Linked DNA regions of Macaca mulatta. The protein of the gene in region 1 purifies or fractionates together with the protein of each later gene. This does not show direct contact. Links are inferred from orthologs where the notes say so. Each region holds a gene or a part of one and is shown on either strand. Other genes may lie near its edges.

Region 1 (3,594 bases):
TTTTGGGAGGCCCAGGTGGGAGGATCACCTGAGGTGGTCGGAAGTTTGAGACCAGCCTGACCAATATGGAGAAACCCTGTCTCTACTAAAAATACAAAATTAGCTGAGTGTGGTGGCGCTTGCCTGTAATCCCAGCTACTTGGGAGGCTGAGGCGGGAGAATCACTTGAACCTGGGAGGCAGAGGTTGCGGTGAGCCGAGATGGCGCCATTGCACTCCAACCTGGGGAACAAGAGCGAAACTCCATCTCAAAAAAAAAAATTTACTCATGTTTTTTAAATTTAGGGCTGAAAGAATCAGGATTCCTGAACCTTGGATCACGCCTCCAGACTTGCAAGAGAAAATCCACATTTTTGCCCAAAAATGTCTATTCTTGACGGAGAGTCTAAAGCAGTTCACAGGTAATGTGAGGAGTGGTGTCATGAGGGGAAATGGATTTATACTCAATATCTGCATATTGCCTGATGAAAGGATATATTTTCCAGCCAGATAGTGGGATGCAAACTGAATATTTTCTTGTTTTCTTTTCTTAGAAAAAATGCAGTCAGATATGGAGAAAATCCAAGGTAAATTTATCTACCTACTGGGCTTTTGATGTAAAGTTGCTTGGAAAAAAGAACATCTGCACTGAAAGTGGGAAACATGGGGTGATACCCATTGGCCAGCCTTCCCTTATATTTTACATCTTCCCTTGGTCTTAACTAATTTTCTCAACTAACAGCCTCTTGCTCTAATTTGAAGTCTGTTAACTGTATTTAGTCAATTCTCAATCTGCATTGATGGAGGAGAAAAATAAGCAATCCAAAAATTAATCCAGAATTAATTTGATTATTTCGGAAAGAGTATGAACAAAAACTACCTTGGATACATTTCACTTGAGCTAGTGTTTATCATTGTAATTACTGAGTTCCTACTGCTTGTGGGTACAGGTGCCAGCTCGGGCAGGAGGTAATTAGGCAGCGCTGACAGGCAGCACTGCCAGGGACATGGTTAGAAGCGGGCAGTCAGGAGTCAGGCCACTTGGGTTCTGGGCCTGGCTCTACCACTTAGTAAGGATTCAACAAGTAATTTCCTTATCTGTAACAGAACAGTAATAGTTCTTACCTCCTAAGGTATAAGAATTAAGGTTAGTTATCATTTCTAACACTTCTAGAATAGAACCTGACACAGTAAGTCCTATATTTACGTTTATTAAATAAAAGTGTTCTAGGCATTTGGAGAAGCTTTTCCAAATTTAAATTTTCCTGCTCACAAGCCACATTCAGTAAAGAGTTGGCCATATATTATTCCACCCAGGAATACTTAAATTCCTGGGCAGTCTGGTGGATTCTGAAATCCTTATATGTAGGTAAACCCTTCTCTTAATTATTAGAAATTACAAACACCCATAATCTTTGATTTTTTTCTATTTTATATATGCTGAGTTCTTATTTGCATTGCATCTACTCAGATATATACTTTTTGGGGCATCTAGCAACATAGAGTTAGCAGATACATGTCCTCTACAAATGGGGAGAAACTCCACTTAATACAGTGGGTAATAACCAGAAGTGGTTAGTTCAGGCACGACCTTGATCTGGCTCTTCTTTTCTTGCCACTTAAAAGGCTTAGTGGGATAATGTGTGAAAAATTCTGTTTCAACTCTAAAGTGCCTTATAAATGAATGGTCATGTTTACCCCAGAGTGTCAGTGAGTGCCATTTGAGCCATTCAGCTGTCGTACCCAGATGACTTATGAAACTCAAAAGTTATGTATGACGTGGGGTTGGAACTGCGTTTCCCTCTGCAGAGCCAGCTGACTCACTAGAAGGTGGAATTCTTGATCTTGGCTCAGTTTGATCCCATATTCTACCAGTCTCAGGCATGTGGTTATCCCTCTACTTAAGATTCCCAATCCCTCTCCCCTTAAAGCTTTTGGTTGGATGATAGAGCCATACATCATATGAAAAAATTAGTGCATGACTGACAGCAGAGGTTCTGGGGTTTCTAATGGAGACCACTGCTTTATGATGACTAACCAAAGCCCCCTCAGTTATGTATTTCCTGGAAACCCTCATGACTTCTATAACTTTTCTCTTTTGTTCTTTCAGAATTAAGAGAGGCTCAGTTATACTCAGGTAGGTGATGAGAGACAAAACCACATTAGGTTAAGGAGTAACAATCTTTGTGAACGTAACTACTATCATGAATGATTTGGAGATTGCTTAGATTTGGATTCTTTAGGTTACATGTATAAAGATGATACACAACAACCACAAAAATCCACAGTTGTTTCTATGTGTTAACAGTATCTTTGCCTCCTGAAATGCCTCAGAGTTGAAGCCATAGGGTAAAATCAATCTCAGGTGTTAAAGAAGGATTATAGGGTGGAAACCGCAGTTCCCCAAAAGTAGAACAGAGCTGGTACACTAGTACACTGCTGTGCCTGCCCAGCTTCAGGGTTAAACCATGGTTTGTGACGAGCAAGACTGATTGAGCTCCACTATTACTCTTGAGTGTTAGAGGAAGTCTAGGAGTCTTGTGTCATCCCATCGCTGTGCCTCAGGGCGAAGTTCGAAACTCCCCTTCCCCTTCACAACCACTTTCACCCTACTGTAGAGCCTGGGTAAATTTAACATTGCAGAAGTCCTCAAATCCAAGGTGTATTCATCCCGCAGTCACAGTCACCTTCTGTTATGAAGTGTCCTCTAAATGAAGAGAAGGACTCGACATACAGTGGATCTGCAGTCCTGGGTGTGCGCTGGCTCTGATCCATATTTATTTCAACAAGTATTAACTGAGTACTTCGCTTGTATCCTACACTGCCTAACATTGTACAGGGTATTTTAGAGGAACAGAAGGGCATAAATCATCCTACTCATGGGGTTTACATTGTCTGGTTGGAGATACACCCATGACACAAGAAGGAGGTAGGCACGTGTTGTAGACAGATTGTTGAACCGGGAACCAAGGGTTCTGGGGTTCTTGGTTATCTCTACCAGTTGCCTGTCTTTTGTGGGAGTCAAAATTTGTGGGCTTAAATTTCTAAGAGGTAATGTTTGGGAATCTTCCTCCTGAACAAGATGTGAAGAGCAAATGAGAGAATACGTATCACTGTTTTTTAAATTAATTTATTTTTTGAGTATTTTACTTTTTAAAATTTTTTATTATTCATTTTAGAGGCAGGTTCTCTGTTGCCCAGGCTGGTGTGTAGTGGCGTGATCATAGCTTGCTACAGGCTCGAACTCCTGGGCTCAAGTGATCCTCCTGCCTCAGCCTCCTGAGTAGCTGGAATTACAGGCACACACCACCGTGCTTGCCTAAATTTTTACTTTTATGTTTTGTAGAGACAGGGTCTCACTATGTTGCCCAGGCTAGTCTCAAACTCCTGTATGCAAGCGATCCTCTTGCCTTAGCTTCCCAAAGTGCTGAGATTAACAGGCATGAGTCACACACCCAGCCCATTATCAGTGTTTTTGAAGCAGGAAAACACTTGATGATAGCAAGATGCTGTAATACTAAATGCCAGAGGAGATGACATGGATCATACATAGTTTCAGATTTCAGAACAGGAAGAGTGTAATGGCCTGGGCAGATTAAGAAAAACTTGGAGGATG
Region 2 (4,440 bases), on another chromosome or scaffold:
TATACGGCAGAAACAAAACTATCCGTGAAATTGTGAAGAAGGAGAATGAAAGGGATAGATGGTATATATAAGGTTTGGTGCTGTCTCCAGGTTCGGGCTTCAAGAGTTTTGCAATGTATCCACTACAGATAAGTTGGGGGGCTACTGTATCATCGAACACCCTTAAAAATCTGACTGTTTTGCAAAGAGTTTCCTGGGAATAACAGCATCCCTTAAATGTCCAGAAAATCACTGAAACTTCACCCCCAAATTCTTCTATTATTATTTAAGGCAATAATAACATTAGGAGTGTGTACATACCTTCCCTTGGATCCATAAATTACCAAATTTGAGGACCCCTGGCTAAGGGTACCTGGGGAGGAGTGGGGTGTACCCTTCATCATCCTCATCTGCCCCCTGGTGGCACATTTTGTCACTCTGGACTCCTGCCCTAGGCTGCCAACAGCCTATTTAAACGAAATATCCCTGATATTTAGTAGTTTGTATATTTCCAGAAAACTTTTCAACTACTGAGATTATCACTTCCTCTCACCATAAAGTTGTATAGCATTGTCCAATAATACTATTGTCGCCTGCTTTATCTGTTAATACTTGATTTGTCTCATACTTAAACTGATTTTTGTCACAAGTAGTTTCCCCAGAAATTTTGTTATTGTTTGCCTGTTTTTCCTATATGTCCAAATGTATCCATTTTTGATCTATTTATATACCCATTTTGTTATCTTCAGGTGCATTATTTGGTTTTCATTTTAAAAATTTCTTTCCTGTTCTGCAACTGAAAAACACTGAGAAACCTACTCTGTTCCCGCATCCGAGCCATTCCACAGGCAGTTTTCCCCATACGAAAAACTCTGTCTTCCGCTGATTTGTGGCATGTCTCAGTTCCGTGACTTCTTTTCCTCTCTCTCCCTACTTGCTGCTATCCCTTTTCTCCATGTGTCTCTAACATGCCTGTGTTCTTCAAGATCTAGTGCAACCACATTCCCTCCCACAACTCTATTTTTATGAGGAATAGCCAAGCAGGACTCCCAAGACATTATACAGGAGTGCCTACAGGGCTCTCTCCTTGGCAGTCCCACAGCACCGCAAATGCCCTGTGTCTGCCAATACTCATCAGCCTCTCTTCCCGTGTGCCTCTCCTGGGACCCTAAGAGAGGAACCGTCCTGCAACTTTCCACTTTCTCCAGACAGGGACTTGTGTGCCTTTTCCGTGTCTCTGACTCCTTTATTCGGTTATAATACAGGTATCTGTCTGCTATAACTCCTGAAACTCTCTTATGTAAATGCACTTTTCTCATTCTCCGCCTCACATCTTAGCCCAGACCACACCATCTCCCCCCGGTCTTGGATACCTTCCATGTTTCCAGTGGTCTGCTCCCACTCCACACTGCAGTACCGTGATTTTTCTAAAACATGGATCGGTTCCTGTCACTCCCCTGTGAAAACTCATCCATGTGGAGTCTGACTGGTCTGCATTTGGGGACTGGACAGAGTGAGAAGGGATCTTGTGTCAGCCAGGACTCCGGTAGACGCCCCTATGCAATATCCACTTGTGGTGGTCGGGGGCGGGGAAGGGGCGGGCTTGAGCCCCCTTCCCCCCTCCTCCTTACTGCGGAAAGCTGCGGAGCGAGCAGCACTCACTTCCTATTCAGCATTCAGCAGGGAGGGAGCCTCCGAACAGCCACGTAGGCATTCTCTTCTCTCTGGAGGAAAAGGCCCAGCAGCTGTCCGAGGAAAAGACCCACCAGCTGTCAGCAAAGGGACATGTCGCAGCTAAGTAAGAATCTGGGTGACTCGAGTCCTCCAGCGGAGGCCCCGAAGCCGCCTGTCTATAGCCGCCCTACGGTTCTGATGCGGGCCCCGCCCGCTTCCTCCCGGGCTCCGCCAGTCCCTTGGGATCCACCTCCAATTGACTTGCAGGCTTCATTGGCCGCTTGGCAGGCACCTCAGCCTGCCTGGGAGGCCCCACAGGGCCAGCTGCCCGCCCCGGTGGTTCCGATGACCCAGCCTCCTGCCCTGGGGGGCCCGATAGTCCCGGCTCCCCCGCTGGGGGGACCGATGGGTAAGCCTCCAACTCCCGGGGTCCTGATGGTGCATCCTCCGCCTCCGGGAGCCCCGATGGCCCAGCCTCCGACCCCGGGAGTCCTGATGGTGCATCCTTCAGCTCCCGGAGCTCCCATGGCCCATCCTCCTCCTCCGGGGACCCCAATGTCCCACCCTCCCCCTCCGGGGACCCCGATGGCCCATCCTCCCCCTCCGGGGACCCCGATGGCCCATCCTGCTCCTCCTGGGACCCCGATGGCCCATCCTCCTCCTCCTGGGACCCCGATGGTTCATCCTCCTCCTCCTGGGACCCCGATGGTTCATCCTCCCCCTCCGGGGACACCGATGGCTCATCCTCCCCCTCCGGGGACACCGATGGCCCAGCCTCCCCCTCCGGGGACACCGATGGCCCAGCCTCCAGCTCCGGGAGTCCTGATGGCCCAGCCTCTGACTCCGGGAGTCCTGATGGTCCAGCCTGCTGCTCCGGGAGCCCCGATGGTCCAGCCGCCTCCTGCAGCCGTGATGACCCAGCCTCCGCCTTCAGGAGCACCGATGGCCAAGCCTCCAGGTCCAGGAGTCCTGATGATTCATCCTCCAGGTGCGAGAGCTCCAATGACCCAGCCTCCAGCTTCAGGAGCACCGATGGCACAGCCAGCGGCCCCACCTGCACAGCCGATGGCCCCACCTGCACAGCCGATGGCTTCTTGGGCCCCGCAGGCTCAGCCTGTGATCCTGCAAATCCAGTCTCAAGTTATAAGGGCTCCTCCGCAGGTTCCCCAGGGCCCGCAGGCACCCCCAGCGCAGCTGGCCACACCCCCGGGCTGGCAGGCGACCTCGCCAGGATGGCAGGCCACGCCGCAAGGCTGGCAGGCCACTCCCTTGACCTGGCAGACCACGCAGGTCACCTGGCAGGCACCAGCCATTGCCTGGCAGGTGCCGCCGCCTGTGCGCCAGGGGCCCCCGCCCATCCGCCCTGGCCCACCACCCATCCGCCCTGGCCCACCACCAGTGCGCCAGGCCCCACCGGTGATCCGCCAGGCCCCACCGGTGATCCGCCAGGCTCCACCGGTGATCCGCCAGGCGCCACCGGTGATCCGTCAGGCCCCACCGGTCATCCGCCAGGCCCCACCTGTGCTCCGCCAGGCCCCACCTGTGCTCCGCCAGGCCCCACCTGTGATCCGCCAGGCTCCACCTGTGCTCCGCCAGGCCCCACCTGTGATCCGCCAGGCCCCGCCGCTGATCCGCCAGGCGCCGCCGCCCATCCGACCTGCCCCACAGGTCCTGGCCACCCAGCCACCTCTCTGGCAGGCCCTGCCACCCCCACCTCCACTGCGGCAGGCCCCGCAGGCTAGGCTGCCGGCCCCGCAGGTGCAGGCGGCGCCGCAGGTGCCTACGGCCCCACCTGCTACGCAGGTACCCGCGGCGCCGCTCGCTGGCCCGCAGGTGCCCCAGCCTGTGCTGCCGGCCCCGCTGTCTGCCCCACTGTCTGCCCCGCAGGCTGTGCACTGCCCATCCATCATCTGGCAGGCCCCCAAAGGTCAGCCCCCAGTGCCACATGAGATACCAACGTCAATGGAGTTCCAGGAGGTGCAGCAGACACAGGCTCTGGCCTGGCAGGCCCAGAAGGCCCCCACCCACTTCTGGCAGCCCTTGCCTGCCCAGGAGGCCCAGAGGCAGGCTCCCCCCATGGTTCAGCTGGAGCAGCCCTTTCAGGGAGCCCCGCCCTGCCAAAAAGCTGTGCAAATCCAGCTACCCCCCCAGCCGCCCCAGACCTCGGGTCCGCAAGCCGAGCTGCCCACACTGCAGCTCCAGCCCTCCTGGCAGACACCGCCTGCGGTCTTGCAGGCCCAGCCCGGACCCCCCTTAGCAGCGGCAAATTTTCCCCTGGGCTCCGCTAAATCATTGATGACTCCATCAGGAGAATCCAGGGCCTCTTCTATAGACCGCAGGGGCTCCTCTAAAGAGCGCAGGACCTCCTCAAAGGAGCGCAGGGCCCCTTCGAAAGACCGCATGATCTTTGCTGCCACCTTCTGTGCTCCCAAGGCAGTGTCAGCTGCCCGAGCACACTTGCCAGGCACCTGGAAAAACTTGCCTGCCACACCGGAGACCTTTGCTCCCTCCTCAAGTGTCTTCCCAGCTACCTCCCAGTTTCAGCCTGCCTCTCTGAATGCCTTTAAAGGCCCCTCTGCTGCCTCAGAGGCCCCAAAGTCACTGCCATATGCTCTGCAGGATCCCTTTGCCTGTGCAGAGGCCCTGCCTGCAGTTCCGTGGGCCCCACAGCCCAACATGAATGCCTCAAAGGCATCCCAGGCAGTGCCCACCCTCCTGATGGCTACAGCAGCTGCCCCCCAGGCAACTGCCACCACTCAAGAGGCCTCCAAGACCTCCGTGGAGATG
Region 3 (2,778 bases), on another chromosome or scaffold:
AGTGGGCCGTTCTGGTTACCCTTTTATTAGAAGGGTATTCCACCACAGAGAGCCGGAGGTTTTCCAGATGTGTGTAAGAGAGCAGGTGCGCAAGGCAAGCAAATGAGCGCAAACAGTATTATGGAAAACATTTGAGAAGTTAGCTCCATGAGGACTGTGGGCTCCACAAGAGGACTCGACTGGGTAGCCTGGTCTGACACAGGAACGTGAAAGCAGAGTATTGCTTCAAAGCTGGAAACCTTCCATAGGAGCCTCACACTGTTGGAAGATGTACTGCTGCTGGTTAAGGTCAACCTGGGGTGCAATGCTGCTGTCTTCATCTTCGGTCCCGAAGTAATGCTCAATAAGATCAAAGGCCTTTTGGTAGATCTCCTGGTTTTCATGACTCTGTAAGAACTCAATTTTATCCAGACCTGAAATGGAGAATAAAGGAAAATCTATTGAAAACTTCAATAAATATTGGAAATTCCATAACTATATATTCCCAAACTATATTTTGTCATATATCTCTGTTCTTGATGTAAAGAAAGATTATTTGTATCTCATAGGTATTTTATAATAGCACAGAAATGACTGCTGGGATTACATCTGAAAGCTAATATTATAAACTGACATCTTAAATACATATGCAAGCAACATCCAGTCTGCAGAAGCAGCAATTTCCCTAACAGTCCTCTTTTCATCCAGTGCCTAGCAGCAGTATTGTTTTTATTGAACTCTATCTACGACCCAATTAATTCTTCGCCATAAACTTCTTCAACCAAAGCATCTTACCATAAGCTTCTTCAATCAAAGCACAGTAAGGGTTAATGCCAGTGCCATTCCTTTTGGCTTCCTGTTCTCCAAGCCTCAGGATATTTTCCAAGCCATTTAGGGCAACCTGTACAATCTTAGAGTCCATGACCGTGAGGAGATCACAGAGCGGCTTGATACAACCTAGTTCTACTAGGTACCTAAACACAAAGAATAATGTAGTCAAACAAAACTTTAAATTTTGTTAAACTTATGAAATTAGTGAACAAGTCATCCTCAACCTTACTGCAAAGACTTAAAAAAAAAAAAAAAAAAAAAGGCACTCTTTCAACCATACAAGCTATACCTTTTCACAAAAACAAAACACCCTCTAAATAAATTATCCCAAACCAGTTCTCTGGCACCTTTCTCCATTCTTTTCCCTTCACAATTTATGCATTCCAAAAACAGGAACACTCACCTATTAAAACTTTGAAATGAGTAACTCATCAAAATAGTATAATTTTGAGTAATTTCATCTTTGTTTCCATAGAAAGCCACACCTCTCAAAACATGACACTCTTGGTGCTAAAAGCCAGCACAAGCCTGATAGGCCAAATCTTTCAAACATGACTCGAATTTTAGTAAAGTAAGTTGTGGGAAGAATAAACAAACGTCAGAGGACTCTAGAGCTGGTATTTTTCCTTTAATTCAAGCAGAATGTATAATCATATGTAATCAAGATTAATCATACTTGAACTGCAGAGACATGATTACATTCACAGTAAATAGTCATGTCATTTTTTATCATTCTGGTTTCTCAAGTTGAGTACAGAGAGGCAGAGATAATGAATCCAGTTGCATTCTGTGGATGGGTAAGGTCATTATGAAACTTACTGCTAGTGCTAATCTATTTCTCTCTCGCATGCTGCTTTTTTGTGTGGGGGAGGAAGAATTCAAAAATATATAAAAATAAATCTCTAGCCAAACAAGAAAAAAAGGAGAAAAGACAAAATTACTAATATCATGAAAGAGAATCATCACTTGATCTCATGGATAGTAAAAGGATAATAAAGGAATACTACAAACAACTCTATGCTGACACATTTGATCATTCAGATAATAAAATGAACAATTTCTTGAAAGACACAAACCACCAAAACTCAATCATGGAGAAATGAATGATGTGAACAGGCTTACATGTATTAAATAAATTGAATCATTAATTAATAACTTCCCAGAATAGAAAACACCAGGATGAGAGTTTCACTGGTGAATTCTGGCAAATATTTAAAGACGAAACGATACTAGTATTCTACCATCTCTTCCAGAAAACAAACAGTGGGGATACTTCCTAACTCAATCTATGAGGCCACCACTTCCCCAATACCAAAATTAAATAAAGACATTATAAGAAAGGAAAATTACAGACTAATATGTCTCATGAACATGAATGCAAAAATCCTCAACAAAACATTATCAAATCAAATCCAAGAATGTGTATGAAGAATTATATACCAAGTGGATTTATTCCAAATATGCCAGGCTGATCTGTCATTTTAAAAAAATGAATCAATGTAATCAACTTATGATCACTTCAACAGATGCAAAAAAGCATTTAACAAAATCCAATGCCCATTCATGATAAAAACGCAGCAAACAGGCCAGGCGTGGTGGCTCACGCCTGTAATCCCAACTCTTCGGGAGGCAGACGCAGGTGGATCACCTGAGGTCAGGAGTTCAAGACTAGTCTAGTCCACATGATGAAACCCCATCTCTACTAAAAACACAAAAACCAGCCAGACATGGTGGCGGGCACCTGTATTCCCAGCTACTTGGGAGGCTGAGGCAGAATCGCTTGAACCCAGGAGGCAGAGGATGCAGTGAGCTGAGATCGTACCACTGCACTCCAGCCTGGGCGACAAAAGCAAAATTCAGTCTCAATAAATAAACAAACAAGCAAACAACCCAGCAAACAAAGAGACAGAACTTCCTTAAGAGATTCTTTGATAGAATCTCAACAAAGAACATACAGTTAACATTATA

What was found.
Region 2: the proteins of TRIM27 (region 1) and MAGEL2 purify together in Homo sapiens (affinity purification with western blotting; 3 studies listed by BioGRID and IntAct, with this or other methods). This does not show direct contact. The link is inferred for Macaca mulatta from reciprocal best matches to the Homo sapiens genes TRIM27 and MAGEL2.
Region 3: the proteins of TRIM27 (region 1) and KPNA1 purify together in Homo sapiens (co-immunoprecipitation; 3 studies listed by BioGRID and IntAct, with this or other methods). This does not show direct contact. The link is inferred for Macaca mulatta from reciprocal best matches to the Homo sapiens genes TRIM27 and KPNA1.

The regions. Positions count from the first base shown.
Region 1 is NC_133409.1:154,433,685-154,437,278, forward strand, and holds part of TRIM27 (zinc finger protein RFP), read left to right. Parts: intron 1-284; coding exon 285-400; intron 401-532; coding exon 533-565; intron 566-2,088; coding exon 2,089-2,115; intron 2,116-3,594. UniProt on the Homo sapiens protein: E3 ubiquitin-protein ligase that mediates ubiquitination of various substrates and thereby plays a role in diffent processes including proliferation, innate immunity, apoptosis, immune response or autophagy.
Region 2 is NC_133412.1:6,302,467-6,306,906, forward strand, and holds the start of MAGEL2 (MAGE-like protein 2), read left to right. Parts: upstream 1-1,639; 5' UTR 1,640-1,764; coding exon 1,765-4,440. UniProt on the Homo sapiens protein: Probably enhances ubiquitin ligase activity of RING-type zinc finger-containing E3 ubiquitin-protein ligases, possibly through recruitment and/or stabilization of the Ubl-conjugating enzyme (E2) at the E3:substrate complex.
Region 3 is NC_133407.1:161,339,468-161,342,245, reverse strand, and holds part of KPNA1 (importin subunit alpha-5), read right to left. Parts: intron 954-2,778; coding exon 775-953; intron 414-774; coding exon 226-413; 3' UTR 1-225. UniProt on the Homo sapiens protein: Functions in nuclear protein import as an adapter protein for nuclear receptor KPNB1. Binds specifically and directly to substrates containing either a simple or bipartite NLS motif.